4 linked regions of the Struthio camelus genome follow. The protein of the gene in region 3 purifies or fractionates together with the protein of the main gene of each other region. This does not show direct contact. Links are inferred from orthologs where the notes say so. Each region holds a gene or a part of one and is shown on either strand. Other genes may lie near its edges. The genes, in order: NIPSNAP2, PARD6G, PRKCZ and LLGL2.

Region 1 (7,376 bases), on a different chromosome or scaffold from region 3:
GGATCCAAACTATATGAATGTCACTAATGTAAATATGAATATATGCACAGAATGAATGTAGACACACTACATGGAATTAACATCACACTTCACAATTTTTTTATTTTCTAGGAACAATACTTATCAGAAGAGAGTTTTCACAGAATCTTCTAAGACACTGCTTGACTTTGCTAGGAGGTTCTTACCCTACAAATGTTTAACTATGGACTTAGCTTTTATTATACACACGAGCTTTTTCAGAATCGGGTCCTGTCGTTGCACCTGATACAGCAGTTCAAATGGCACGTTTGTGAGGATGGTGCAGAGAAAAAGCAAATGATTGGGTGAAGTCAATCCACATTTCAAAAAAGCTATTGTCAGCTCCTGTGTGTTATTTCAAAACGTAGAGGTCAATATGTAATTACTAGAAAAAACAATGTAAAGTTATAAGTATTTTAATTATGTTCCAGTGACATTTTCAGCTACCAAAGGATGAATATCATGATTTTAAAAACCTAAGTCTATCCTTTTCTACTTTTAATTCCTGTATACTATTGACAGACTGATCCATTTCTCATAAGTTTCATCCCCCAGAACCTAGCACAATGCCACAAGGATTGGTTTGCAAATACAAAATGGGAACACTGAAAAGTTTGCTTATGTTAGACTAAAAATGCGGGTGAAAATAGTTCTATCCCACTTAACTTCTGCTTTAGCACAAAATATAAATTGGATGGAGAGGGAGGTATCAGGTCAAATATTTAAACTTTGTAGTAACTCATGTCTGCCTGGAAGAGAAAGAAAAAGAACTTGTCTACAAATTGACAATTTTTGATTTGTGGTCTAAACAAACGTCAAAGTTTATTTCAAAGAAAAATACTCATGCACATAAAATCTCATAACATGTACTCTCCACAACTCCCCCCCTTCCCACTTCAAACAGCTGCTTGCAGAGCTCATCCCTTTAGCCTTGCACAGGGGCTGCTGTCCGTTCTGAGGCTTGAGACAGCAGCTTCCCCTGTTTCAAAAAGAGGGAGGAAAAACGGATGTAGATCCATCCCAGCTCGGGCGCTCCTGTGCTTCCGACACCCAAAGAACGTAACGTGTGTCTGCTCCCCCCATACCCAAGGGCCATGTGTATATATCCATGCCCAGACACCTGTGAGTTGTGGATGTGTGTGTCTGTGCCTTTGCCACCCAAGGGGTGTGCGTGTGTCTGACTCTTCACAGACTGCACGTGTGGGTGTGTGAACGCCTGCACCCAACAGGCAAAAGGTGTGCTGTGTATGTGCCCTGGGACCTGGGGGATGTGTGCATGTGCACACACACACCAGCACCTGAAGGAAGCATGTATATACGGCTGTGCACCCTGACACTCAGCAGCTGCATGCAAGTGCCTGCACCCAACACCAGGGATGCATACACGGGCGTGCACATGTGCAGGACTGCACCCTAACACCCAAGAAACACACGTCACACCTTGACACACAGGTAAGTGTGCTGTGACTTGACAAATGGTGCGTGTGCAGCTGTGCACCCTGACACCAGATGGGTGTTGGCAGTGTGAGCAGCCACATGCCTGGACTCAAGGAACACACAAGCAAAGGACGGCTGTGCACCCCGTTGCTCCATGGGGTAGGCGTGCAGGGCAGCTGTGTGACCTGACACCGTGGGTGTGCACCCTGACACCAGGGGGTGTTGGCATGTGCCTGGCCATGCACCCCAACACCAGGGGATATGCAGTGCAGGGTTGCACCCTGTTGCCCAGCAGGGGAGGGATGCAGAACGGCTGCGCACCCTGACACCGGGGGGATATGTGGGTGCAGGATGGCTGTACACCCCAGCAGCAGGGAATACGTGGGTGTGGGATGGCCGTGCACCCTGAAAGTGTGTGCTTGTGTGTGTCTGTGCACCCTGACATCCAGGGAACACATAGATGGGGGGTAACTGCACAACCTGTTACTTGGTGGGGCAGGTGTGCAGGATGGCTCTGCACCCTGACACTAGGGGATGTGGAGGGGGTGTCCTGCACCCCAACACCAGGAAGGTGGAGGGGGAGATGTCCTGTACCCTTACACTGGGGGATGGGGAGAGGTGTCCTGCACCCTGACACTGGGGGATAAAGGGGGGGGTATCCTACACCCCAACACTGGGGGATGGGGAGGGAGATGTCCTGCACCCCGACACTAGGGGATGGAGGGGGTGTCCTGCACCCCAACACCAGGGGACACGGGGTGGGGGGGAGATGTCCTGCACCCCGACACTAGGGGATGGAGGGGGTGTCCTGCACCCCGACACCAGGGGACGCGGGGTGGGGGGGGAGATGTCCTGCACCCCGACACTAGGGGATGGAGGGGGTGTCCTGCACCCCGACACCAGGGGACACGGGGTGGGGGGGGAGATGTCCTGCACCCCGACACTAGGGGATGGGGGGGCTGTCCTGCACCCCGACACCAGGGGACGCAGGGTGGGGGGGAGATGTCCTGCACCCCGACACTAGGGGATGGGGGGACTGTCCTGCACCCCGACACCGGGGGACACGGCGGGGGGGGGGGCACGGCCTGCAGCCCGTCGCGGTAGCGCAGCGATGCCGCGGCCCTCGCCAGGAGCGGGCGGCTCGGCTCGGCTCCCCGCGGGGGCGGACTGGCGGAGGCGAGGGCAGGGGGCTGGCCTGGCGGCCCGTGACCTTGAGGGACGGCGCTGCCCCCTCCGCCGCCGCCGGGCCCAGCGCCGCCCGCGGGGAGCGGGGCGCCATTTCCAGTCAGGAACGGGGAGGGGGGTGCCGCGCGGCGGGGCCGAGTGGACCCGCGGCCGGCTGCGGCCTCCCCTCCCTCCGCACCCCCCACCCCGTCCCAGAGCTCACCTGAGGGCCAGGCCGCCGCCGGGCGGCAGGCGCGGCCCGCCGTTGGCTCCCGCCAGGCTCCGCCGCAGCAGCACTCGCGCCGCCATCTTGCTCCGACCGCCTCCCTCCTCCGCCGCCTGGCCGGGGGGGGGGGAAGGAGGAAGGGGGCGCACTGCGCCGCCGCCGGCCGCTAGGGGCGCGCCGCCGCCAGAGGGTCCTGCGGCCCCGCCCCCGCCGCTGCGCATGCGCGGGCGCCGCTGCCCGGGCCGCCGGCCGCCGCCGCCGCGGGGCCAAGCGCAGCGCAAGGCTTCGTCTCAGCAGCGCCCGGGAAGGGACCCGCTGACCTTCCGCTGCCGCTCCCCGCGCTTTTAACCAACAGAACAACGTGCAAAACACACCAGCTCGAGCTGTCGTTCCTAAAGGCTATCGCATTCCTCATTACCGTTGCAGGTGGAAGAAAGTAACATGCTGTCAAGTGCCCCCCGCCGGCTGTGTTTCCCCTCACCCAGCAGGCATGCAAGGAAACGCATCTGTGAAAGCCTTTAGCTGTAGTATCCAACCCCGTTGGAATTACTGGTTTAATCTTTCACTCCTGACCTCGCAGAAAGTTTTGGAAGGCTAAAAAGATGCCACTAAGTAGTAGGGTAATGTCCCATGAAAATTACTTACCAAGAAAGAATCCAGAGGGTATTTTCTGAATCACATATAAAAAACCTAGTTTCTTATTCACCAAGTAAATTTTTCACCCACATGCAGTTGAAGTGTTCATTCTTAATCTGTTCCAGCTATAGTACTTAGTTTAACTAAACCAGATGGTGTGGTAATAATCAAGTCTTCAAATAACTTTTTTAAACTAAGCTATCATTTAAAGGACTTTACTAAAAGAACACCAATCAATTAACACAGCAAAGAAGTTTATGAATAAAGCCTGAGCTTCTGCATAGCACATCTAAATGAGGTCTACAAAATTTCATTAGGTAAACCTATTGTCAGTCATCATCAGCACACACTGCAAAATGTCAACACTGCATGTGCCAGTGTTTGCTCACAGTAAAATAGAAAAACCTGTGGTGCATCTTTAAAGACCCTTTTAACTTAATATGGGACTGACATTTTAAAAAAAATACCGCATGTACATTTAATCACATTTTGACCTGAAAGCATGTTAAAATCACAATTAGATGTAGATGCTACTCATTAACCAAGGAGAAAACTCCTTTATTTTGCATTGCTTAGTTAGTAGGACACTCACTTGCATCCCAAAGAACTGGGTTCAAATTCCTTTACTGACTGCTTGGATACAGTTTGTTATCTCACTGAAACATAAGATATGACTTGAGGACTGTGAGAAAGAAACAGTCTAGCATTCAAAAAGGTAATATTTTGGTTCAGAAACACTGAAGCTAAGCTAAGTCTCTCATTCCTCCTAGCTCAAATTATTTGTTGAGTTCAATCTGACTTTGCCAGCAGTTTGGGGACAGCCGAAACTGTCATTTTGCACCTGTGAAGGAAACCAAAAAGTTAAAAGCGCAAATACTTTACAGCATCAGGACACTGAAAGAACTGATAGCTTACTAATGTAGAGTGGTTCAGTTTCCAAAAAAGAAAACCAAAATACTTTAAGTCACCAGCAGAGGAATTCTATTCAGAAATTCCTTCTTTAGCTTCTAATCTTAAGCAAAGAGCAACAACATAGATAAACACACACCTATTCACACAGGATTCCTCATAGCTTTGATATACTCACTCTCCTCCATACAGGAGGATGCTATGCCATCCCTGCAAATGCTGTTTTGACATGGATTTCCTTTAGAGCTGCATACAAAGCCAACCAAAGTCAGCTACACAAGGCTGCCGTAACAGCATACTCTTAGTTTACGTCTGGGAAGACAGGACACATGATCCCCAGAGCTGCAGCAGGATAAATCGTTAACCTCTATGGCCTTCCTGTTTTATATTACAGCACTTAGCAAATCAGTACCTCTCTCTCTCCCAATGTGTTGCTTTAACTAGCTCTTCTAACAAGACTAAAATCTAAGCATGTTTACTTTCACTTTGTAGCTTTGTATTCTCATCACCTTCTATTTCCTGCTGGCAGTTCAAAGTTCCTTCTCTCCCCAAACTGAATATATTCTCTGGATAAGTTAAATCAGTTGCAAAGGAAGCATTTTTTCCTCCTGAAATAAGAACATTTATCCAGCAGTTTATGAGAGCTAACGACCTTAATGACAGTTCTTAATTTCCCACCCCTGACTGGGGCAGCTTAGCAAACTCTGTATAGATTTCTTCCCACAAAGGGAACCACGCTAAGCTACCCAAAGTTTATAACAGCAATAAAGTGACAATATTTAAAGGCAAGTGACTGTTTCTTAGACATTCTGGAAGTTGTAAAATACAGCAATACAGTTGAAGTGACTAGGAGGCAATAAGGACACACATAAGGTAGTTGGCTTCAAGATTTCTATACTTCCTTTCAAAAGTTTTAACATCATTGTCCTGCATTTCTGACAATCTTTGTTTGTAGGCTTATACTTAAAATACAGACCCCTCCCAGCTTAAACATTATACAGTTATAGTCTTCTGTTTCTCAATACAGAAGAGCCATTGTAAGTGAATAGCTGGCTTCCGAAACTATCAAGAGGTCAGGCAAAACTACATGCAAGGTGACAAAGTGTTAACACTTAACTGACATTTTCATCATTTTTTCATTTAGAAACTTGAGGTGCTCAATCTGTAACATCCAGTTTTGGAAGCAATTACGTTTGCTATTTATTGTGACTCCAAAAATCATCGAAACATTTCACATATGACAATGGGGCCCCAAACGCCCCTCACAGATCAGCCGAAAAGCCCTCCACATAAACGTTTTCCCTTCTATTTGTCTGTTGAACAAACTTTAAGTTCCTGGAGCTTTTCACTTAAATAGGTAGTATCTGCCTCTGTCAGATTTTCTGAATCTGACAGATTCTCAAGGAACCTGGTTCCTGCACAGGGCTTTCCCGTTATTGGATCTATGACATTTCCAACCTTGAAAACAATTTCAGCCAGTTCGTGTTTCACATGCTTGCTCCTCCGCTCAGGCAAAGCTTTTAGAAGAACAATGTCTCCGACAACACACTGCTGCAACGGATCATGGGCAAAATAAGTTTTTCGCTTGTTAAAGAACTGTGGAAGGAAAAGCATTGGCGTTAGGTTCCAAAATGAAGCAATGGTAAATATATATTTAATACAAAGTGAACTAAATTTCTCTAATGAGAAGTACAGTTTTGCATAATTATTCGCCTTTGGTTTTCTGATGAGCTCAAGTTTGGATTGTGAAGAGAAGTGCAGTTGTGCACAGTACTGTTTTTTCAAAGCAAGCACAGTATTACCACCTTCTCTTGACTTGCTAGTATGTTATTGCCAACAAGAGTCTGGAAAAGGAGATGAGGAAAAGACAGCAAAGGTACAAGAAGTTGCTGATAGTGAAAACACGGATACAGGCAAAGATAAGCTTTTCTTCACTTAACATAGACGCCCTTTTCTAGCATCACCACTTCCCATTGGCCTTTCTCTGCTCTTTAGTTCTTGTTCTCCATGTTAGCCTTCTCTCCCCTTAGGATGCTCCACTTCCACACTGCTTCAGCAAGGCAGCTAGCTGCCTTGGCTCTTCCAAGCTGAATAATCTGACTTTCCTGAACAGTTTATACTTCAAAAACAGATATCAATTCTTACCCATTCTAGCACTCTTAAAGCTCATCAGCCCCAGAGTTGGTGTTGCACTAAAGCTTGTCATATTTTTTCAAGTTTTTTTGCTCAATTCGTTCTTTCACGTAATAGTTCAATATTTAATCCTATTGATACTGCAGGATTCAGAATCTCTCCTTTAAGGAGAGAATCATCAGGTTCTTCTACTGTATAAAGTACGGGTCTTGTGAATCCTAGTCCAGTTATCCCAGGACCTACAAGAACTCCATTCTATTCCTAGCCTTCTGGTCACCAAGGGCAAGTTATTTCACCTACCTGTGCCATAGTTTCCCCACCTAAAATTGGGAAAATACTAATTTTAACCTCCCTACTTGAGATGCATTGACAAGAAATTACAAATGCAAGGCTCTTCTAGCACACCACAGCATAGATTCAAATACTAAATAGGCTTATAATTATGCACACTGGAAAACAGCTACAAGAGTGTACTGGAAAAGTGACTAGGTAATGTCAAGCTTCCAAGATAAAGCATACTCCAAATCAATATTAAAAAAATTATCAATCTAAGCATGAAACAAAGCCTATCCTCCCAACTCAGATCACAGTGCATTAAAAAAGCGCTCCAAAGAAACACATTTAGCAGATAATCTCTATTGTAAGTGTCCTGATAATACACTGCTTTTCATCTTTTACAGTTATCCCCACAACCAAATCATTGTGCAAGTCAAAGAGTTTACAGCATAAAGAGCTATTAAAAATTTTAAGAATCAAATCAATTAAAGATTCTGCCACACAGAACACAAACATTATCTTGTAAAACAAACCATTAAGCAGCTTTTACCTTTAATAAGTAAGGATCTAGCACGAG
Region 2 (7,938 bases), on a different chromosome or scaffold from region 3:
CTGGCAGGCTACAGCATTTGAAGATAGATGCAAAATCATGAGTTCTCAGACTCAACTTTCTAGTTCTCAGGCAGGTTTGGACAGGCCTTGTACTTACAAAACAGAGGCAACTAGATGTTTAAAAGGCTGACTACATAAGGCTACCAAAAGCAGCATTACTGAATAGAAGGTATTTAAGTTTTTCCCCTTCCCTCAGCTCCAGACAGTCCAGGCACCATTGGCCAGAGTTTCTCACTGGATCGACTTCCACAATCCAATAACTCCCTCTGAGCAAACCTGTGAGCCTTACGGACAAAAGAAAACCACCTCGCAATTTCGGTAGCAACCTCTCCAACAACTTGATGCACACAAGTCACACTAACAGTAAGCGGACAAAACGACCCACCAGAACCAGGAAATTCAACAGCTGGCCTCCCTTGACCCAAGTTGCACATTAATGGATCATCACTGGGTGTAGGCCCTCCACATGCTATTTAGAGTTCAGCCTCTATTTTAAGTTCCCACCCTACTGAAGCAGTGCTGTTCTATAAAGTAACGTCTGTGCCATTAGCAGTAACTTCCCTGAACTATAGAAGGCCTCCAGTAAACCCCTTCCACCCACACAAGTTTATTTGCAATGGATTTCCTTCTCTCTGCAGGTCTGCAGTCACTCGTTCACACTCGCGATCTACCTAAATGACTTGGTATCTACATGGCTACATAGGATTCACTTAAAAGATTTCTACAGCTATAACAGAGGCTATGTGGTGTTCATTATAAGATTGCTTTTAAATTATTACTAAGAGAACAAATTTTACTTTCTTCCACCTGAATACTGCAGTAAGAGTATGAACTTAAAAGTTCCTGTCTAACTGGGGTCAAGTTTTTACTTTGAAGCTTGCATTGGGTATAAGCCAGTGATGAGAAAACTGGATCTGGAGGATTTGGGGGTCATATCAAATGTTGTGGGGGCGGATTACACCTTAGAACTAGTACAAACCGAACCAAAATTTTCCAGCTGTGTAAGCAAGACGAAAATGTCCCTGGCCTGCTGACCCCCTTCGAACACTCGAGTAGCAATGGGAGGTTAGGAAATGAGAGCTCTCAACCCACGTTTCAGATGTCACCTTCGGAAATGATTGGAGAGTCCCCTGCACGTGAGATAGCCCTCCCACTGAGACAGAGCTATAGGCTGGCTGATCTCAATGCAAATACTAACAGCGGCAGAGGACAGAAACGGAGAGCACTGAACACAAACAAGAGTGCCTGACACCTCAGCTCCAACACTGTGTAAACAGGTAGCCAGTGCACAGTTTCCCAGAACATGCGAATGTTACTCCTTACTTTTTTCCAACCTACTCACTGATCAGACATGTGTATAGAAAGCAGGCTTCCAGGGAGATTTCTGAGTTTTCCCTCAAGCAGGAGGTGTTTTTCCACCTAGGAGAGGTGGACAAGATTTTGATGTGCTGCTTCAAGCAACAGCGACCAGACCGGACCTGTTGGAGAACCCTCAGCAAGACCAACTGTAAAAACAGAGAACTGAAATCATCGTTTAAAAAAGCCGAGCCACAACGCGCAGCTGTGCCCGCGCACGACTGTCCTGTGGTTCGCAACCCCGCTGCTAAAAAAATAAGGGCTTAGGCACAACCTGCTGGCTCCGCCAGGGCAGGCGCGCCCCGTTCCCCTTTGACACCCGGCAGAAGGGACGGGCGAGGGAGAAGCCGCCGGGCCTCGCAGCCGCCACACCACGGCGACGCCACCAGCACCAGCCTGGCCCCGTTTTTCCACCCACTTCCCTGCCCGCTCCCTCGCTCAACTCTACCGGGGCACCTGCGGACTGCCCCCAAGACGGATGGCGGCGGCATCTGGGGAACGGCTCGCCCTCTGAGGCGTTTCGGGCCGAGGACGGTGCCGCCGGGGCGCGACGCGACGCGACGCCGCCAGCAGCGGCGGCCCCGCTCGGGGGCCGGCGGGCCCAGCTGGGCCCCGGCGGCTCCCTCGCTTTCGGCGAGGCGGCGGGGAGCCCCGCTCCTCCCCACCTAACCAAACCGGTTAGAAAATAAGCAGAAAGCGCTAAACGGCTCCGCTCCGGGGCCGCCAAGCGCCCAACCAGGGGGAGCACGGAGCCCGAGCAGCCCGCGGCGGGCCGGGCCGAGCCGAGCCGGGCCGGGCCGGGGACGCGGCGAGCCCCGCCACGGCGGCAGGGCGGGCGGTCCCGCTGCCGCCCCCCTCCCCTCCGCACGCCGCTAGCCGAAAAGCCCCCGCCGAAAAGCCCCCGCCGAAATCCCCCGCTTTTCGGCAAAGCGAAAACAATGGGCGGTTTCGAAACTTGCCCTCCCTCCTCCTCCTCTCCCCCCCCCCCCGCAAAAGTTTGCGCCGAAGTCCTTGCGGCGAAACAAAAGATCGAGCCGGAGCGGCGGGCACGGCGCCCCCGGCGCCCGCCCGCCCCGATCCCGCTCAGCCCCCGGCCCGGCCCCCGCGGGCCGTGCGGGGGGAAGGGGGTCGCGCCGCCCCCGGTCCCGCCGTGGGGGGGGAGGAGGCGGGCGGGGCGGACACACACCGCCGGAGCCCGAGCGAGGCGCCCCGCCAGCTCCTGCCGGCGCGGGCTGCCGCAGCCGAGCGGCGCGGCGGGGGGCTCCGCGCACGGCGGGGAGCGGCGGGGGGACGGAGAGGGACCGAGCCGCCGCCGGCCGAGGCCGCGCCGCGCTCTCCTCACCTTACTCTTCACCTCCACCGCGCTGCACTCCAGGTACCGCAGAGTCTGAGACTTATTGAAACTCCGATTCATTTTCTCGGTCCCCGCTTGCTTCCCCCGCCGCCGCCTCCTTCTCCGCGCCTCGCACACCGAGGGCTGCGAGTCCCCCGCGGGACGCTGCCCTCCGGCGGCCCGGCCCGGCCCCGGCGGCTCCCGCCGCCCCCCGCGAGCGTGTCGCGCCGCGCCGCGCGCGGGGCTGCGGCCACTTTGTCCCGGCGCGCCAATGAGAGCGGCCGCTCCGCTGGGCTCGCGCTCCGGCTCCCAACCGCCGCGCGGCCCCGGCTGGCGGCCCGGCGGGCAGAGCACCGCCTCCTGCGCCCCGCCTCCCGCCACCCCTGCGCCCCGCCCTTCGCCTCGCTCGCCCCGCCCCTTCAGGCCTCTCGCCCCGCCCCCTCGCCTCTCGCCCCGCCCCTCGGCCCTCGCCGGGCCGGCGGTGGCGCGAAGGCGGCGCGGGCCGGTGCGCCCCCTTGCTCGACGTCCCCGACGGCCGCCCACACGCCGCCGTGCAGACCTGAGCGCCCCCTTCTCGCCCCCTTTCTCCCCGTCCCCCCCGGGGCAGGTGGCAACGGCGGCGGCCGCCGCGCCCCACGAGTTCAGGGGGGCGGAAAAGGACATGCTGAGGTGACTTCTGGCATGATCCCACGTGCGCGGCGCGACCCCGAAATCCAACAGCTGGTTTAAACCGAAATCACAGCCACAGCGGAGGCATGATTAGTATTAATTCTGGTTTAGATTTTTAGTTTTGCTTTTTTTTTTTCCCCCCCTCAGGGAAAGTCAGTTCTCAGCAGTTAGTAAGTAATTTAAATCTGTAGTCTTTACGCTAAATGTGGTACTTTCTCCTGGTATCCGTGATGCTCATTTGAGAAATACAGATTAAATTCTTTTGGACTTTTTGTTTTCTTTCAGAAAATGCAAATGCTTCATTACCCTCTCTTTTATATTAATAACGACTTTTAAAGCTAATAATGCCTACCTAGCTGTGGGTAACCGGGAAGAGGATTCAATTAAAATGTTCAAAAAAGAACTAATTTTTTGTTCATACAAAAGTCGCTAAACCATGCTGGATCCGTTCAGAGCAAAGATACGTTTTTCAAAGCGCAAGTCAGAGGTTGATTCACTAGTAGAGCTCGGGGGACTTCCACGCTCCCTGCCCTGTCAACAGCAGCCATCCGAGGTCCTGTTCATATTACCACCACCACAGAAACACGCAGCCCTCTTTTTCCCATCTACCCTGTCCTTGAAGCTAACAGATTTATTAAGCGCACAAATTACTGTATTTCAGGAACGGAACTAATGCTGTTTCCAGTTCTTGTATACTACAGCGTTTTAGAAATAGTAGATCGCTGCCTCTCACTCTGCTTTTTATCCACAGATTAGAGGAGCAGCTTCTCCGCTCTTCAGTTTTTGCCCACTTTTTCAACTTTGAATTAAACACTCATCACAGTAAACAGGGTGACTACACCGATAGGAGGAAATACGGTCTTTACACCGACAAAGAGGCTACTGCTATCAAAGGATCTTTTCCAAGTACTTTAACAAAACTTGGTTTCTGCTGCCTTTTCCCAGTTTATCAGTTTGTCTCTTAAAAAAATCCCATGCGCAAATATGAATATCGTATTTTAAATTATTTTTGTTCAGACTTTAATACACGTTGTCATAATTTCAAGTGTAATGATGTGAAGACTTTTAAAATAAAAATGTGGTTTATTTAAATGGCATCCAATTTGAGTTAAACATCCATTATTTTCTAAATTAAAATAAGCAATTTTTTTCCCACTCTCATCAGGGGAACGATCGGTTTCTGGATAGGTCGTTGGTTAGGCCAAAATGGGCGCACACATGGGCAGAAGGCCTGAGTATGAAAATCTGATTGTATATTGAAATTTGTAGAAAAATACAACAATATTATATAAGTGCATAGCGTTTGTTGGATAAGAAAGTTTCTCAAACAACTGTCACGAAATCCAGTCCGTTTTTGTAGGTTTGTTAAGATACAATTTTTTTTTAACGTTTCCAAATTGCATTTAGATTTGATCTCCTTTCTGCAGAGGAGAGCTGGGGCACATGATTAAGGCAGCTTCAGAAAACTTGTCCTGCTGCTGTCTACTCTTCCCATGTCTATGCTATACCTTAATGAGCAGTGTCTTCATCTCCTTTTACAGCAGGAACAAAAAAATGCTTGTTCTCAGACTGCCCTGGCTCCGTGGTGCAGCAGGCACTGCAGCTCCTACCTGCTGCTTCCCCCTCAAACTCTTGCCATATTTCAGTCACGAAGATGGTTTTAATTTGACCGCTTTTACTCAGGCACCTTTCAGCAATTTTTTCATCATTTGCCAAGGGCGCCACATTCCTCTAACCACTTCTGTAAGTTTTCATCTGTTTCGGTCATCTGTAACTAGTTTTCCTGTTTCTCACCTGCAGAGCTAAGATCGCCGTTTCTTCCGTGGTAGCTGTGTCCCAGCCCTTGCTGACGTGAGCATGGCTGCACTCACGCATCCCTGGCCCAGTCCCTTAGCCCCTTTCTGCCCTCATTTCTTGCCCTAAGTACGGCAGGGATGCTACAGCCCAGAGATCCTATCAGGCCGTACATTTAAATATAAATATTCAAATACTCCTCTGTTTTAAAAGAATTTTGTTCACTGGGGGAATGAAAGGTGCTGCACTCTGTGCCTGATGTACTCCTGCAGTGCTGTTTTCATCAAGCAAGGGACTTACTCTGATTAGCTGCATGCCTCATTAATGTTAACAACAGTCGCCTACATGTTTTGAGAAGTGAAAATTACCGCAGACTCACATCCAAAGATTTATTTTTCCCCTTCGCGCTGAATTTGCAAGGGTTACAAATGATAAGTCCAAATGGCTTGGGGGAGCTGCTGCAATGATGGACTGGTTTGGGTTTCTTTAAATGTAAAATGAAATGAAGCATGGCACAAAGCAGAGAAGAGCGGGGATGATGACTGCTGTTTTGTACGTAGCGAGCAGTGTTCCTGCCGCAGGGATAATAGTTTCTACTTAATCAGCTGCAGAGACCAATGCCAGGGAACACCAGTTGCCCCAGTGCAGGAGACCACCCACCGGCGAGCAGAAGGAGTAATGCCACAGCCACAGGAGCAGCGGGGACATGGGGAGAGAAGACTGCCTGCCCCAGTGTTTTTTCCACTGTCCCTTCCCTTACGCTAAAATGTCTTCTTTCTCTTTCCTTTCAAGAGCTTTTGCCTGCAGGCCTTCCAGAGCTGCATGTTAATTTACTAGGAAAAAGAGCAAAGAGTTTGCTCCCAAGGGGTGGGGAAACCCGACGCTTCTTTACTACCAGGAAGATGAAGCATCAAGGAAACCTCTCGCGTGACTTAACTCTAAAGTAGTCCCAAGATGAGCGGCCAGATCTACGGCTGAGGAAATGGCACCTGCTGAGTTGTACCACAGAGCTCACGAGTGAAAACGGAGATGGACACTTGCTATGACAGCTTCCAGCATTTCCAAAGAGAATGGCTCTGCGCTGCCGAGGACCTTCGCTTTGCTTTACAAGGCGAAATACTGCTGGAGAGAACCAGGCAATAAAACGATGCCAGGAGCAGTATAATTTAGAGCTCGATTTCTTTGTGTTTTACAACAGCGCCTGCTGGGAAAGGAGCAGTGTGAGTGCTCCCAGGCAAGGGCTGTGCGAGCCAGCCTGATGTGTGCCCGCCACCCAGCTGGTGGGGGCAGACGGGGGTCCCAGCAAAGCGGGAGGCAGGCGTCCTGGCCTTGGTGGATTTTCGCACCCCTTTGACTTATCTGGTGGATATTATATAACTGGTTATGTACTTACAGTTATTAGCATGCAAATAATTCAAAAACCAAAGGAGCTGAGAAGCCACAGTCCCAGCAGCTAATCTCCAAATATCATCAGACAGAGACTAGAAATGGGTTACCAAACTGATTGTTCTCTTTCCAAATTACCTCTAAGTGGGGTTAAATGCAACAGCACTTTGCAAGGATGGCAAAGGTTGATTAGCAGAGGCGTGTTTGGGGGTGGGAGGAGGGAGGAGAGGAGATTGTGCTGCGAATTCTGCCTCCAAAGAATGCTCTAGCTCTGTAAATCACTAGGATAAGGCATTGCTCACTAAAGACTGCAAATATTCAGACTACACTTGTTCTGCTGAATTTCAGAATTTTTGCTCCCTTTCAAAGAACTTTGAACATTCCATTGCTTCGATTCTTGGTTTTCCTTTCTTGATTAACAAAAAAAATATGAAAAACAATAATGTCTCCCAAGTGTCATTCATTTCAAGCAGGCAAATAGATCTCATCCTCCGCGGGTTACCTAGAAGTAGATCCTTCTACTTCCATGTGGGATAAAAATTTTGCTTAAAATGTAAATTCTTGTCACTGCAATCAACACAAGCATTAAACAGGGTAGCAGATACACCTCAACAGTGTTGCAAGATTTCCGTCTCCATTGCATGGTTTTGTGGCTTGGTAACAGAGACTAGTTAAAGAAAAAAAAAAGCACAAGTTCTGGCAAGGAGAGCATTTCACACATTGCTGGTATGAATTTTGAACATGCAATGGCCGTGCAGAAGCACTGAGTTAATTTTCAGAAAGCTCTTCAGGTTTCTAGATGAAAGGTGCTGTATAGACAGAAGTTACTCTCAGTGTCAAAACGATGACTGCAAACACTTTAAAATATATTTGACTTAAAGAAAGCGCTAGTGACCACAGGCCTGGTATGTGGGGACTTCTGCCTGATTCTCTTCCCCCCTCGAGATGAAGCTAGCCTTCACTTTGTCCCTCTACAGATGGTCCTACTTCTATGGTAAATTGAAGCATAATAGTAAGTTTGCAAGTGCAGGATCCATCTTCTAATGAGTTCCGTACTGTCAAATGATTTATGCAGCTGACATCATCTCTATCTTCCCATGCATCTTTTCTGTATTAAACTGTAACTTAAATTAGAATGGGTTATTAAAATACAGACAATGATAGTGGAGTTACTTGTTTGCAGTAATTGCTAAGTTTTCTAATGGACTTTAGTGGACTGGATCTTCATTAAGTTAATGAAATGGAAGGAAATTCAGTACTGTTAATTTGTAATGTTAATACGACTATGAGAAAGCTACTATCATGAAGATATAATCATTCCTTTCTTCTTCTTTCTGTGGTCCAAGTGCTTATCTATCTTGTTTGATGACCACTGGAATCTGTCACACTGGGTGTATTCG
Region 3 (7,609 bases):
AATAAACATTGTGTCTTGAATTTAGATTTTTAAGAAAAAACACACACACTGTTAAAACTGAGTCTTCAAGCAGCTTACATAGGCTCAATCTAAGTTTATTCATAATTTGAGATTTAACTAAAATTCTCTCTTCCCACATTTACCTAGATAACTCCCTGGCAAGCATTCTCTTCAAAATTTCTCAAGAGGCAGACAAATCCAATGACATCTGATTGTTGCTTCAAGATTTACATATTTACCCACAAAAAACCCCACCTCCAATAATTTTCCAAACAGTGACCACTGTAAATTAAAAACAATATCTAAAAAATCCCACCGGAAAAGAGCTCTCGTACTAAATACCATAGATTCTGTCCCAAGGAGCACACAGTCATGAACTGACATCTGTGAGTGGAAACCTGCACTTAGTAGTCTCCTGCTAATTTCAGTGGTAATCTGCAGATTCAGAGCTCACAACATGAGTAAATATAATAAAGTACAATAGATGTATTTCTATATTATAAAAATATAACAACTGTATCTGGATGTAACAGAACAACTTATCTGCCTGTGAACGTAAAACACTTGCAAGAAAACAGAAAGCAATAACCCATCAACCCAGACTAAGGAATAAAACAGCAACTCTTTTAAAATGTTTCAGTGTGCTGCAGTTGTTGTGGATGTTTATTTTAATAGCCTAGAAGTTTATATACTTGTCCTGACATTACATTCAAATCCATCAGCTTCCTGGTTACTCTGCTACTAAGTGAGACTATAGACTCCTGTTCGATACGCTTCAAAATTAGGTATGACACAATACACAGGAGGGAATATGTGGACTTACCCGCTATAGTGTGTTTTCACCCTGATGAAGTCTCTGTTCAAATTAACTTTTGAGCCCATTCTGCTAGGCATGGTCTAAATTCAACAGTCTAAATGAATGACTATATGGTAACTATATAGAAAGAGCAGATAATTCATTTAATTCTTAAGTGAAAGACTTCAGATGTGATATATGCACATCTTTTCCAGACGACAGTCAATCCAGCTGAAAGAAAGAAAAATCAAAATACAGATGAATATACACACGCTCTACTGAACAAATGCGTTGTGTCAGATTTTGTAAACTCAAGTAGCTTTACATATAAAGCCAAAAGAAAACAAAAGGAAAACATACAATAAGACTTGTCTGGCACAGTAATGAAGTAAATCAGTTTAAACTACCCTGCATTGCATAAGCATTCCAATTTATAGACGATCGGAACTCAAGACAGTTTGTTTTTTGGGTTTTTTTTTGCACAATTGGTATAAAACATTTAAATTTTGGTTTTTTTAAAGGACAATATTTTCTAACAAAATATCCAGTAGTTCCTTCCTGGCCAGAAATACTCAAAGGAATTAACTACTTCTTCATCCATACTACTTCTGGCTCTTTTCTTTCATACAGTAGAGAATTCCAATTCAAAGTAATTTGCATATACATGGAAGACAGTTACTCATTCATGCTAATTACAAATTTATTCAAGAAAAGTGAAAGAACTCCAAAGGGCTGTCTAAGTTGCCTTTAGAACTGGACTCTCAAGCAAATATCCTGCTTCTTCAGAGGTTCTCTCTGCTCCCTCCCATATACAGGCATACTCGAAAATATTTTCACACAGCTCCCTAAGCCCGCTCTCTAGGGAAGCGGGGCCACACGGACCATGGAAAGATGCCAGAACTTGGGCTCCCTCCCCTGCTGGGGTTTGAGGGCACTCGCAGCCCCTTCCCGCCCTCCCCAGGGCTCCTCCGGCGCCCGCCGACCCGGGGGCGACGCCGCGGCCCCGACGCGCGCGGGGAGCGAGAGGCAGGGGACGCTTTCGCCCGGACGAGGCCTCTCCCTCCCTCCCTGCCGCGCCGCGCCCAAGGGACGCCTCTGGGGCTCCCCCTTCCTCCTACCTACTCTGCTGCTCCGGCCGAGGCAGGTCCCTCCCCGGCGGCCGGGTGCCCAAGGATCCCCTTCCCCATCACCTCCGCAAAGCTCACCGACAACGCCCGCCCTCCGGGCCTGCCTCTCCAGCCCCGTCCCAGCAGAGCTCGGCTCTCCGCTCCCGCCGCCCCCAAGTTGCTCAAAGTCCCGCCAGGAACTTCGGGTCGGACCCCGGCTCCGCTGCCCTCCGGGCAGGCGAGTCCCCCGGGAACCGTGGCGGCAGCAGCACGCTGCGGAAAGAGCCCCAGGTTCCCCCGTAGCTGCTCATCCGCTCCCCACCTCAGTAACCCCCTCCTCCTCCCCCTCCCCCTCCCCCTCCTCCTCCTCCTCCTCCTCCCCCTCCTCCTCCCAGCCCTCCTCCTCCTCCTCCCAGCCCTAGCCGCACCAGCGCCACCACTCCGAACATGGCCGACGAAGAAGCACCCACAACCAATAGAGCCCCTCCCACTCTACCTGCCGGCCAATAGCAAACTCCGGCTCACCTGCAGCCAATCCCCAAAAGGATATTCCCCACCCGTGACCAATCATAGGCTAGAAACCGTTACCTGAAGAGTAGGAGCCTCTCAGCCAATAAAAAGCCATAGAGGGAGCGGAAGGCGGGCGCCTGCAGCCAATCGGAGAAGCGAGCGGCGGGTGCGCGGCTCCCGTGGGCGCGGCGGGTGGGGCGGTAGGTGTGATGGGAGGGGCGGGGCCAGAGGGGGCGGCTGTCCTCACACGACAGCGGCCGGGCGCGCTCTGGCGCTCCGCCGTAGCCCTAGTCCGTCCCTGGAGGGTTTCGGTGCCCTGCTGTGCCCGTGCAGCACCTATGCGCTCGGAGATGTGGTAGCGCCGTGGCGAGAGGAGGCCCCAGGCCCGAGAGGAGGAGCAGACGCGACCGTTACGGCGCTGTGAGGGCACAGAGCTACGGTTCTGCTCTCCTCGGAGCCCTCTAGAGAGGTAGTGGGTCGTCCAAACTGCCGAAGGCCCCTTGGCTCTCCGGTGTGGCCTCGCCCGGCCCCCCCTTAGCTTCAGCTCGCCGGGAGGCGCTGGCTCGCTGCGGGAGGAGCGGCAGCGCCCCCTCGGGCTAGGCAGCGCCGGGCTGGGGGCAGGGAGCGCGGGGCCGCCTCGGGGCAGGGCCGGGGGCGGTGCTGAGGCGAGCGGCGGTGCCCGGAAGGAGCGGCGCTGCCGCCCGGAGTTAGAGGGAAAGCTTCCTTTCACAAGAGTGTAGTTCCATGGAAGGGTAATCATACCACCCAAACCGAGAAGACTTCATTCGGGACTGTAAAGGCAGGAAAACTGCTGTCGAAATAAATAGGTACAGAAGAAATGAAACAATAAAAATAACAATATCGTGACTTCTTCTGAGTAGCCACATCGGGAGGGGAGGAAAAAAAGCAATGGACTACGTTGTTGTAACGGTGCTGACTTACCTACGCTTTCACAAGGGCAAGCCTGTGAAACGTCCAATGTCATCACTATTTCAGTTTTATAAAGTGCTTTTTTTCCTAATGCTACTTTGATCTGTTGATTTAAAACTATGAATCAGCTATGACTTAAGCACAGTGGTCTCCTCTGTTCTTTGGACAGAGGTGTGGGATAGTTGTACTCACAGAGTCCCCTCGTGGAAATTAAGAATTAAAATGGCCAGTTAGTTTTCTTCTATACCTAAACCAATTTGGCAAGCCAATAAGCTATCCAAACAAAAGGCTTGCCTTGGAGCTTTTGCTTAGCTGTTTGCATCTCCTTCAGGTAACTAGTCCACTGAACTCTGAACAATAAACCAAGCCAGGGTGTCACAACCACTGTGGTTTGGGTTTGACTACTCCGAGTTGAGCAGTCATAATCTGTATTTTGAAAATGAGAAAAGACTGATCCTTAGTCTCTTGCTATTACCTTGTACACACCTACCTCAAGTTTCTTTTAGACACCATTTTGCGCTTTTACAATTCCCTTGAGGGTTATAGGAATGTGTGCGCTTGTACGAATATAGCGCTAATGCTTTGTTTGGTGTCTCTATGAACTTCCAAAAATATGAATAATGCTTAATACTAGTTTAAGTAGGAGTACAGAAGCAAAACTTATTCCCATCAATCTAGATGTTTTCTGTGACTCCAAAAAAATGCAGCAGTTGGTTTGATTTAACAGTCTTTAATTTGAATAAATAATGACTCCGTTGCTAACTTTATCTCAATTGGAATTCTCAGTGTTGTTTCAAACTGGACCCTTGAATCTTCATATGTTTCAGATTTCATCTTTAAAATGGAGAACGTTATATAAGATGTGTCAACGAACATGCTTTATTTCAGGGCAAACTAGACTTTGATCTCTCTGTCACCTCAGACATCCTGTGATACTTGAGATGTTGGGCAGTGAAATAAAAGATGGTGTAGTTCTTCAGAACTGTGATTTATTTGAATTTTTTTGTTGTTGTTTTTTCTCAGCACAGCTTGCTCAGGACAAATTGTTGGATACACTTTCAGCAATTACAGAAAACCTGAATACAAAGCAATTTGTATATCTTGCAAAGATTTTTCTTTATTGGTCAATTAGTACTCATGCTGTTACTTTTAAAAGTCTTATTTTTTGTTGCTTTAGATTTTGTTGTATTACAGGATTGTTTAAACACTTGAATTTGTTAGTAGATATTTCTCACTTCTGGGGAAAAGAGTGGGCAGATGGCTTTTTTGTGGGAAGATGTAGGTTTTCCTCTGTGCATTAGTTAACAAGGTTGTAACTGGTTTGAAAATGCAACATATTGAAAGATCATTGTGTCTGGCATATTGTTTTTGAAACACAGCTAGCTTCTGTTGGCCTAGAGCCTGTAATCCTGAATGTATTTCTGATCCTGATTATTTTTTTCCGATGACAGAGCATTGCACTTTTATCTTCTACAAAACCACTCTCAGCTTAATAAAACCAAAGCTGTTATATGGCTGCCAACCGCACCTAAATTTGAAGACCTGATAGTATCCTTATTAACACCACTATTTTGAGGGTCCTACAGGTCAGCCATTTTATTTTATGCCACCTGTACCTGTGGTACTAAATACTCATATGCATCAGGTTTGTGTATTGTTTTGCATTCTTATCCCTTCACCTCAGCATCAGTGGGTTTAGTCCCAGTTTACACAGATATGACCACAATGATAATCTAGCTTTACACATGTAAGGACCAGGTATACATTCAACCTCACTGTCCAGTTGTGCAACAGATTTATAGTGGCAGTGATGAAAACTGTTTTACTAAAGAATGTATTGTTGTTATTGCGATTGCTGCAGTAGAGAAGTTTGCTATTACCTCATGTTACTGAATTGCCTTTTTGACTAAAAGTTATGAACATGCAGAGCGTTGGTTTCTGAATGTAACATCTCCTTGGTTATTTAATTTTATGAGTGATTGTGATATTTTTGAAGTCCGTATTTATATAAATGTGTATATCTACATGTTTCCAGCAGATGGCAAAATATTCCTAGGCAACTGTCTGGGAAAGAAACAGCTGAATATACAATGATTATTTGTGCTAGTCCCTTATTTTAGTCCTACAGGCCACTGAGAACTGTTCTTTAAAGATTAGTTTAAAGGGAAAACAAATTATTTGGGGTTAATAGCATCAATCTAGAGTCCTGCTTCTGGCATCAGATCTAGAGTCCTGATTCAGGCATCAGATGTCTATGTTAATGGCTATTAATTTCACTAAAGTGCAAAGTTATTTTATCTGTATTTTCCTTTTTAAAATTCCAAGAAACATTTGCTCTTTAATGGCTTTGGAAACTCCAAGGCAGTGCAACTGTTTTAGTGCCTCTAAGAGGAATACAATACTTCCTTATCGTGGTCCAATCTGCTCTTCAGCATTTTGAAAGAAATAGGCTGCAATTGCATAGGAAAATTGTATCAAGGGGATATTCTTTCCTTTCTGTCTCAGACCCTTATTCAGATAATAATGTCATGCATGCATGTGTGTGTGTGTGTGTGTGTGTGTGTGTGTGTGTGTGTATACACATTTATATATGTATATATACACATTTTTATATATAAAATGTTGGTGTGTGTGTGTAATTCCCTTTATTTTAACAGGACTACCTGCATTAAAAAAAAAAAAAAGGGCACAAAAATACCCCACTGAATCTAGAGAAGGAAATTATACTAGTTTATTCTGGTCTCCATATGGAGCAAGTAGTATCTTTTAACCTCTTCTGTGAAAAGAATAATATTCTGGAATATCTCAGAGCAGTTTCACTACATGGGCCATTCAGAAAAAACAATTGTCAAATATAACTTTATACACCACAGTCAGGAAGAAGTGAGAAAATTTCTAGGTTTAAATGTTAATTAATTTGAATACAGTAGAAATAATTTGATCTCTCACATGTAGTATTTGCTACTAGAATTTTGGCACGGTTAGCTACAAAAACAGAAAAAAAACATAGTGTATTTTTTTTTTTTTAGGTTAGAGGGAACCGTTTTCTCTTCAAGTTGTACTTCAGCATAACTGAGACAGAAACAAATTTTCTCAGCCCTCTTTACTCATCCTGCCTAAAACCTGTAAGTAATGTTTGTTTTTGGAAGGTATGTACTGCATCTGAAATTGCTTTGTGTGTATGAAATTTTATTATATATTAACTGTAGTTCCTATTATTTCCACTGTACATTTGCCTCATTGTGATCTACTGATAGACATATTAGTCTAATGGAAAACCATTTTAAATTTTCCAAATAGCTCTAACTTTTCTTTATAATCTTAGCATTTCTTTTTTCACATTTTGGTACACAGATCTATTTGAATGCCATGTTTTATATTAACCTATTGCTATTCTGGCAGCTACCGCTCCTGCAAAAAGAAGGGAAAAAGGAGTATCCTAACGTTACTCTTTCATACTATGTCCTTCCACTTGCGTATGCTGGTATTGTAAAGTACAGATCCAGAAAAGTGATTCTCTGAATCCAGACTACAAACAGAAGGAGAGATTTAAAGGTACTGGGTATTTTGGTTGCATAAAAGAAAGCTCGGCCAATTTTTTGCTCAGTAGAATACAATAAAATATATTTCAGTAGAGGAATGTTCATGTAGTTGGGTTAGTGAAGAACTGCACTGTTCTTGTGAGCTGTACTTTTTGTTGAAACAATCTAAGTCACAGGTAGGGCTGCTTTTTAAATATTTATGAAGGGCGTATATAACATGGATGTTGGGATGTTTACCATATTTTAATGTTTATTTAAATGGAGAAGGGGCTGTAAAATCAGATGAATGGTTTGAAACAAGATATCCCATAAGAAATACTTGAGAGTCATCACAGAAGAACGAAAGAGTTATTGACTAGCAAGGTTTATTTTTTCTGTAGCTCAGATCACAACGTTATTTTTCACTGAGAGCCTCAAATCCCAGGGTTTGAGCAACAGAGGATCTTGATTGAAAGGGATACCTACCCTCACTAAGGGACAAACTGTTAAGGCAATACATGAGAGAATTCTTCAGGGAAACATACAGGAATCCACTAGAATGTCTAAAGTAAATTTTGCCTGTGTTCAGTCAGATGGTCAGTATTTGACTAAAACAGGCATGCTCATAGGTTGCTCATTGTTTTAAGATTTTCATGCATAAGTTCTTTGTCTGCACCTTTAAGATTAGTTATACTTTAGTTTAAAAAGTTGATTCAATAACTGTAATTATCAAGTATCTCAGATCC
Region 4 (7,809 bases), on a different chromosome or scaffold from region 3:
ATCTCTCAACAAAAAGATAACCAAAGCATCATTTAAGTACTAGGGGTCTCAAGTGTGCCAAGTGCAGGAGCCATCAGATCCAGCAGACATGATTCACTGTGAAATGACAAGTTTTAGAACACTTCCAGCTTGAAATCAGTGAAGCAATCCCTAGCTATTTTCTAGCCGGGCTGTCACTGTAAAGTTCACTTCTATAACCTAGCTCAGCCGCACACACTAACAAGACAGATACTAAATAAGAAAGCAGAAGCCAAGCAGAAGAGCTAGAGCAAACGAAGGAACGGTTGCAGCACATTGAAAGCTTGGAAGCGCTAGATACCATCTTCTTCCCCCCAGGATAAAGCTTCTTTTGGAAAGACGTTCCTTCTAAAAACATCAGTAATCTCATAGTTTACTAAGACCAAGCAAAAAGCTCCCTTACATGACATAACTGCTGATCAACTGCTAGCATCTCATCACTCACAGCTTTCCAGAAACAGGACAGCGCTCAGATGCATCTTGCATGCGTTAATTAGGCACTAGCAGAGAAGACAGCTGAAAGATCCTTCCATAAAAAGGATTTATTTTTTGCAAATCTGGAGAGAGAGACATGTAAACAGGCAGTTGAACCAGCTACATCAACACTTTGTGCAGGTGGCCACCCTTAAAAACTGAAGATAGATCCTTCTGATTTCTTAGAAAAGGATCGAGAACCAATCTTACCAATCAGGAAAGTTCATGGACTTCCACAGCTTTGCGTTCAGAGTTACCAGCAACTGCCCACTTGTGATGAATTCGCTAACTGTGCAAACTTATGTGTCATTATGACTCCTATTGTATTCTCCTTGTCATGGGAGCATGACAACATGAAGTTTCAAAATGCTACAGCAGAACAAAGTCTTTGCATTGGACAACGTTATTGCACACAATGCAAAACTCTTTGTAGACTTCTAAATAAGAAGTGTGATTCAAGTGAAAGACAGAATGGCTCATCATCCTGAAAATAACTTCAGGATAGCATTTTTACACCAAAAATAGTGGGGACGTGAAAGCATTTTCTTTCTAAAGCCACACAGAGAAATCCACCTAAAAGAAACCTGTAGGTGAGATTTGGAGTTTCCATACAATTTCTGCACAGAGGTTGAACTTCCAACTACTGCCAGTCCCTCCCTGGATAAAGTATTGTAAAGAAAGATCAGACTAGTAGCAGTATCACAACCTCTTACTGGGATGTAGTAACTGCATTACGCATATACGTTTAAATCCTCTTACCCTTTGACATTTCTCAAGACGCTAGTCAGTCAGGAAAAAACATCTGTCCCACAAGCAATTCCCCAATAATAATCAAATTATTGTACCAGAAAGCAACTGGAAGATACAGGATTATCTCAACCAGTTTAACTCCTCCAGTAATTTTCTTCAGTCAGTAGCAACAGTAGATGCAACTTGTACAAGACCAAAGAGAAGAGATGCTCTTCAACGCCATCCTACAGAGATGTTTAAAAACTCTTCCCCCTTTTAATACCAGAAACTAAACAGAGTCCCTGGAGCAGTTACGTCTAGAAGAGTTCAACAAGCAGCATTGAGCAGGACTAGCGAGCGCTCAGAACTCGCGCAGACCATCTTTGCCCCCGCCGCGGGCCGGGCCGCCTTGCGAGCGCGAGGAACGCGTCAGGACGCACGGAGAAGCCTTGGCCGCGACGTGCCACCGCTTTGCATCCCGCTTGCTAGAGCGCCAGCTTCCCGAATCAAAGATGAAACCAGCAGGCAGCCCGCTTTGGGCCTCCAGCTTCACCAGGGACTTGGTAAAGCAAGACATTCCAGTTGACCGAGGTGCTCTCAGATGACTACAAAGAGCAGCACTGCCATTCAAGTAACAGATTACAACGGACGGCTTTTAATTTTACTATCTCAGTGAAGCTCTCTTCCCATCTTACCTCTATCCTCACGTAAAGCTTTACGCCACTACGCTGCAGAAACAGTCCCTTAAGTTACTTCAACAGCTCCGTGAACAACGTGAAACGGAAACACGCCGAACAGCCTCCGCAGCCACGCCGAAGCCTCACCTCGAGGAGGCGAGGGGCCGCCAACCAGTCTGTCCCCCCGCCGCAGCCGCGGGGCGAAGCCCCCACGACTCCTTTCCCCGTCTTGCTTGGCCCCCTCGCTGGCTGCTAGAAGCAACGCGCCCCCTCGCCCATCTCGCTCGTACGAGTTTGGGGAAAGAAGGGAGAAAAGTGACACCGTATGCTGAGTATCGGATGGGGGATGTGAACAGAGCGTCCCGAAAGGGCGCACAGCCGCTCCCGAGCGCTCTCGGCGCCGGGGCCGGGCGGCAGCAGCGCTGCGAGGGGCCGCGCCGGGCGAGGGGCGGCGGCGGCCGGGGGGATGCGGCCGGCCGGGGGGGGGGGGGGGGGATGCGGCCGCCCCGCTCGCACCGAGCGCCGGGACAGGAAGTCGGGAAGCAAAAGAGCCGCCGCCGGGGCGAAAATCCCAGGATGTAAGAGCTCCCCGGCAACACCGCGCGCTCCGTCCACAGCGAGCGCAATAAACTAAACTCAGTTTAAAAACAAAAAAACAAACGACAACAACAAAAAAAAACGCGTTACGGGAGAGCCAAAGCCGGCTGCACCGGGACGCGGGCGCCACGGCCGGGGCCGCCCCGCCGCCCGCAGGCGGGTGGCCGGAGGAGGGCCCGGGCGCCGCGGCGGAGGAGACCGCCCCAGCGGAGAGGGGACGCGGGGGCGGCGAGCACCTGCCGGCGGCTCCGGGAGCGGCCCCCGCGGAGGGGGGGGGGCCTCCGGCCCCGGCTGCTCGCCACGGACCCACCGGGAGGGCCCCCGTCGGGCACGGCTCGTCACCCCCCGCTCCGCTCCGCTCCACCCCGGAGGCCGAGGCCGAGCCGCGCTCACCTGCGGGGCCTGGAGCCGAGCCGGGCCGCCCCGGCCTCGCTCCGCGCCCGCTGCCGCTGCCCCTCGCCTGCGCGGCGGCGGCGGCGCCGTCCTCCCTCCCTGGGTACCTCCGGGAGGGGTGCGGCGGGGCGGGGCCCCGCATGCAAATCACCTCCCGGGGCGGAGCCTCCCCTCGCTTTCATCCGGCCCCGCCTCTCTGGCACCGTCATGAATAATTCAGCGCTCCGCTCGCTCGGAGCCAATCAGAACGCGGCCACAGCTGCCGCCGTCCTATAGGCAGCCGCGCGCTGTGCCGCGTCACGCCATTCAAGCCGAGCGGCCTCACCGGCGCGCCCCGCGCCGCGGCCCCGGGGCGGCGCGGACGGGAACGGCCGGGAAAGGCGCTTTCCAGCCCGCTCAGGTGTTCGTCAGCGCCAAGGGCCCCACGCAACGTCGAGAAAAGGGGCTCACCCGTCATCGGCTGCAAAAACGAGACAGACTTAACAGCAAGTTGAACCCTTCGCGGGGATCAACCGCTGCGGGGAGCCCGGGTCCTGCGGCAAGGCAACAAGAGCCAGGCTAGGACTGTGCTTATGTGGCAGTGCAACAGCACTGCGAGGTCTGTCAACGTCTCTGCAGCGACACAAAGCTTGAAATTACCTCAGACAAGTTTTCAGTAATGGTCAGTGTTTCAGCCGAGCTTCAAAAGGTGAAATTATTCAATTAAAATACTTTGTCATCTCCTTGCAACATCCAGCTCTTCCACATCGTGGGTCCAAACGAAGCAGCCGTATCAGTCTGCATCACAATCTCATCCCGCGGGGTAAAGGCACCGTCAGATGGTGTGCTGCTGAGCAAGGCAGCCACAGTTTCTCAATCCTCCCTGCCACGGTTATTAAATTGTAATTGTTTTGTGCTGAATCAGGGAGTCTCTGCCCTAGCGAAACTCACTGGGTGGCTCTTGTCCATCGATACAGTTCCACCTTGGCATAAGCAGATGAGGCTCTGATTCAATTCAACAGGAGCGCACGCATTTGACCTAATTCCAGGACAAACGTGAGCCCCATGGGCCGGACTGGAGCTTTTCTGCCTATGCCTGTTCTTAGACACTCACCTCCCACTGCCTTTAATCTGCAAAACAGTCTGGGAGAGCGCTGAGGGATCAGACCAGAACTGCCAACAGCCCTGGCTTTTTAAAGAGGACTATTAGAGTTAAAACACAGCCCCTCCCAGGAGGGAGGAAGAGGAAAAGGAGGGTGTGTGTCAGAGGAGGTATTAAATTAGACCCTCAGCTCAGTGGAGCCCTCATGACTTCCAGCATCTGGTAATACAGGTGTGTGCACGGAACAGGAATAGGTGAAGAGCTTGCAGCAGATCGCTGCCACCCTGGGCTACAACACCTCTGACCATGCACCAGGAAGATGGCAAGGTGGGGGTGTGTGCCGACAGGGACTGCACGCAGAGGTACAGACTCCTCCTGCCTCTGACTCGCGATGCCCTCCTAGGGAACTAAGGCATGGTTGATGGCGAGGCCCGATGAGAACACAAAACCGGTGTAGGAAAGGGGCCATGTAGCCACCTAGTTGTATGACCAGGAGCAGGCATTCAGGAGCTAGTGCTACTGGCGTCCAGACAGCCTCCCCAGAGCATCCCTCTCTGCCTAGTTTCCTCAGAAATGTTAATAAGTTAACACTCAGGAGCTTGCATTGTTGGAAAAGGCTTTTTATTCTTTAGCCTTTGCCTCTTCCCCAACCCCAAAAGGAACTCAAACATTATCAAATAAAATGCATCTAAAACAATTGGTATTACCTTTCTGACGAAAGCTAGATACTGAACGCAGCCCTGCTCAGCATCCTTCTATCCACTGAGCAGGCTTTCTGGCAGCCCTCACTGGTCATTTTTCAGAGAGGCTAAAGCAGATTTGGTACCTGCATATCCTGGCAGAAGGCTCCCATGGTAGGGCCTGGAAAGCCATGATGGGATACTCATCCTCACTTTGGAGCACAAAAGCCACGGGACTGGAAGGCTCATGAGGAATCTGTAGCTTCTTTTTTTGCTCAAGGATCTCTCACTTGCAAAAGAAAAGACAAGGAACTACAGCCAGAAAAAGGGATGTCAACAGACAAAACAGAGAAGGCTGCAGTGCAGCCCTGGTGAGAGAATCAGACACAGTGTGCTGATATTGGTGGCATAATTTTAATAAAATATAATACTGTGTGGCCAAACCACATCTCCGGACAGCCATTACAGCACGAGGCTGGGTGCCATCTGCAATGCTCTGGGGTTTTCTGGGACCTCTGGTTGACAAAACAGCGCACAAAGCCCAGAGTTTCCTGCTCTCAAATATCTAGAAATTTGATTCCTTTGGCTGAGTTTTATGGCTGCGACTTTGTTTTTCACATAAGAATCTGATCCAATGTTCGTTGGCGCAGCTGAATGACAGAAGCTCAGGAGACCACCGCTGACCTGATCAGCTTATTCTGCCCTGGCTGACCTCAATGATTCTCCAACCGTTCAGACTGGCTTAGCACAGTGGTTCTTAACATATGAAAAGAGGGTCACCAGCAAAGTATTTTCTAGCGGTCCACAGGACAGATAGACATGACAGGGAAAAGGCTAGTCGTCCATGAGATCAGAGAGCTGGAGAACCAGTGGCTTCAAGAACAAAGCGGTGTGTATTCCAGTCCAGAAACGCCCGGCTAAGCTGTACACACTGCTTGGCTGCAGTAAATTTGCTTTTATAGATGAGCCACCTCCTGGTTGAACAAAACCAGTTGCAGTGGTGGACTACCAAGTGTAAGAGTTGGTTATCATAAGCTCTATTTTCCATAGTATTTCATTAATCAAGAAAACAAATCCTGAATAAAAGCTCTCCCCTTCATCCCACATCACTTCTGCCCGTGACAGCAACTTCAGTGATTAATATCAACTGGCAGCTTGAATTCCTTTAACGAATAAAAGGCAATTTCTCCATGGTCCACCAGTGCAAAGACCACCGGGACGTCCCCACTCTGGTATGTGACCTGCTTCAAAGCTCGAAGGGATGGAATCTGCTCGTCAAAGCTGTAGAAGGAAAAATAGTTCTCAAAGCACAGAAGAATACATAAACCCAGCTGTTCTGGGAAGTTTTGCTTATCAGAGACAGAACAATAGCTAGACAATTCACAGCAACAAGCCAGGCTGCCCTCAAACTTCACCCAGCTGGGCATCCCTGAAAAACCAGAGCTCACAATGGTCACCCCCTCTGGTCTCATGAGCTGGAACTGACTCTCCCCACACTTCTCAAGCAAAGCGGGAGACTGCCAGCAGTGAGAGCACACCACATGCCAGGAACCAGGAGCTGTCAAATCCTTTGCTGAAAACAAGGGCAACTGTACAGTGCTCCATGCTGTGGCTATTAGATGCAGCTCACAGGGCTACTGGCAAGTTGCCAATCCAATCTAAATACTTTTATATTAGGAAGTTCTTTAGGTTGCTGGGATCGACATCTGACCTCCTTTTAATTCCATTTAAGAATGAACAGACTCTGCAGAAATATTTCTGCAGTAAGGATCATCCTACTAATTCATAACACAGACCTTTGTAAACCTGAATTACCATCTTCCTTCCTCTGTCTCTACTGAAGTTGAGAGTAGAGAAGAGACTGTTTTAGTATATCAAAACTAGAAAAGGCAGAAATTGAACTTTGCATCTACCTATGGAATTTAAGTATCAGATTCTGGATCGGGCAAGAAAGCAGATACCTGCCCCAAAATTACATATGACAAAGATCAAAATACTAAACCCATGGCCCTGAGCCAGTAGTCACCTCTAGGTAGGCACAGCTCTGCATAAATCCACAGGGATCTGCACTGGCTGAGGAGTCACATACCATATGGCTCTCTGCAAAACCGGGCTCTGTGCGAGTTTCACAGGCATTGCATAAATACAGCTGTGGCTGCTTCTTGTTCCCGACTCCAGTAATACCCGCATGAGCAGCAACCAGATGACCAAACAGTGTGGGCTGAGTGCTAGGGCTGGGGGAAGAGTCAGCCACAGACTCCAAGAAAGGAGGAACAGAAAGAAAAGGAAACCTCGGGGCAGGACCACCCTAGAGGCAGTCACTCTGATGATCTGCAAAGCCTCCAAGATCCTGGGTCATTTACAGACCATTAGGATCCCCACATCAGCAACAGGGATATTTCAACAGAAATCATAATGCACTATTGATACCTCCGTACACACATCCTGACATAGGGCTTTCCAGGATTCGTCTTCTTAAACTTGGCCACAGCATCTGCTTGATACACATTGAAGTCTATTGTCATGCCCTCTGTGTCCTCCTGCAGCCTGCAGAAGAGAGAACACATCTGTGTGCTTATGGGATTGACAGGTCACAGGGTATAGCTACAGCAGAGGAAGGAGGGAGCAAAAGCTCTGGAAGCCTGTCTAGTCTGGGCTTTTTAGAAAGCTTCACTCCCCAGAAAATTAGAACAGTTCCAGGGTCAGTCATTTACTTCCCAGACCTTCCCCCACTTCCTCATGTCAGACCAGAGCAAGCTCCTTCCCCACATCCGCCACGCTCTCCCTCTCCCTGCATTCCTTACAAGAAGTACCACAAACACAAACCGATACAGGAGCAAAGCACTGCGCAGCAGGGATGGCAGCACATTCAGGCATGAGGCAGAGGTGAAACATAACCAAACCTGTGGGCGAGATTCCCTGGCCAGCATGCAGACAGGGAACATCAGGAGAAGAGAGCAACCCTCAAAGTTACAGTCAGCCTGGAATGCCTTGGTTCCCTGACCCAGAGCTTCATGGAAATACCAGCCCTTTGCTAAAGGTGCGAGAGGGCCATGGAACAGAGCACTGGATTCTCTTGGCATCCTGGACACTAGGCAGCTCCCACGCTGCTGCTGAGAGCGTCTCGCAGACCTCACAAGCAGGGACAGTCACAAGATGC

Evidence for each region.
Region 1: the proteins of PRKCZ (region 3) and NIPSNAP2 purify together in Homo sapiens (affinity purification with mass spectrometry; 3 studies listed by BioGRID and IntAct, counting the BioPlex papers as one, with this or other methods). This does not show direct contact. The link is inferred for Struthio camelus from reciprocal best matches to the Homo sapiens genes PRKCZ and NIPSNAP2.
Region 2: the proteins of PRKCZ (region 3) and PARD6G purify together in Homo sapiens (affinity purification with mass spectrometry; 6 studies listed by BioGRID and IntAct, counting the BioPlex papers as one, with this or other methods). This does not show direct contact. The link is inferred for Struthio camelus from reciprocal best matches to the Homo sapiens genes PRKCZ and PARD6G.
Region 4: the proteins of PRKCZ (region 3) and LLGL2 purify together in Homo sapiens (affinity purification with mass spectrometry; 7 studies listed by BioGRID and IntAct, counting the BioPlex papers as one, with this or other methods). This does not show direct contact. The link is inferred for Struthio camelus from reciprocal best matches to the Homo sapiens genes PRKCZ and LLGL2.

Annotation. Positions count from the first base shown.
Region 1 is NC_090957.1:15,436,446-15,443,821, reverse strand, and holds the start of NIPSNAP2 (protein NipSnap homolog 2), read right to left. Parts: upstream 3,001-7,376; 5' UTR 2,929-3,000; coding exon 2,843-2,928; intron 998-2,842; exon of another isoform or gene 1-997. Other genes in the region: MRPS17 (small ribosomal subunit protein uS17m), read right to left, coding at 5,696-5,986, 7,350-7,376. UniProt on the Homo sapiens protein: Protein involved in mitophagy by facilitating recruitment of the autophagy machinery required for clearance of damaged mitochondria.
Region 2 is NC_090943.1:94,492,764-94,500,701, forward strand, and holds the start of PARD6G (partitioning defective 6 homolog gamma), read right to left. Parts: upstream 3,012-7,938; 5' UTR 2,771-3,011; coding exon 2,699-2,770; intron 1-2,698. UniProt on the Homo sapiens protein: Adapter protein involved in asymmetrical cell division and cell polarization processes. May play a role in the formation of epithelial tight junctions. The PARD6-PARD3 complex links GTP-bound Rho small GTPases to atypical protein kinase C proteins.
Region 3 is NC_090962.1:2,921,710-2,929,318, forward strand, and holds the start of PRKCZ (protein kinase C zeta type), read right to left. Parts: upstream 3,004-7,609; 5' UTR 2,491-3,003; intron 2,388-2,490; exon of another isoform or gene 1,915-2,387; intron 1,028-1,914; 5' UTR 895-1,027; coding exon 824-894; intron 1-823. UniProt on the Homo sapiens protein: Calcium- and diacylglycerol-independent serine/threonine-protein kinase that functions in phosphatidylinositol 3-kinase (PI3K) pathway and mitogen-activated protein (MAP) kinase cascade, and is involved in NF-kappa-B activation, mitogenic signaling, cell proliferation, cell polarity, inflammatory response and maintenance of long-term potentiation (LTP).
Region 4 is NC_090960.1:8,491,808-8,499,616, reverse strand, and holds the start of LLGL2 (LLGL scribble cell polarity complex component 2), read right to left. Parts: upstream 3,011-7,809; 5' UTR 2,889-3,010; intron 751-2,888; exon of another isoform or gene 703-750; intron 1-702. Other genes in the region: TSEN54 (tRNA-splicing endonuclease subunit Sen54), read right to left, coding at 5,780-5,930, 7,080-7,196. UniProt on the Homo sapiens protein: Part of a complex with GPSM2/LGN, PRKCI/aPKC and PARD6B/Par-6, which may ensure the correct organization and orientation of bipolar spindles for normal cell division.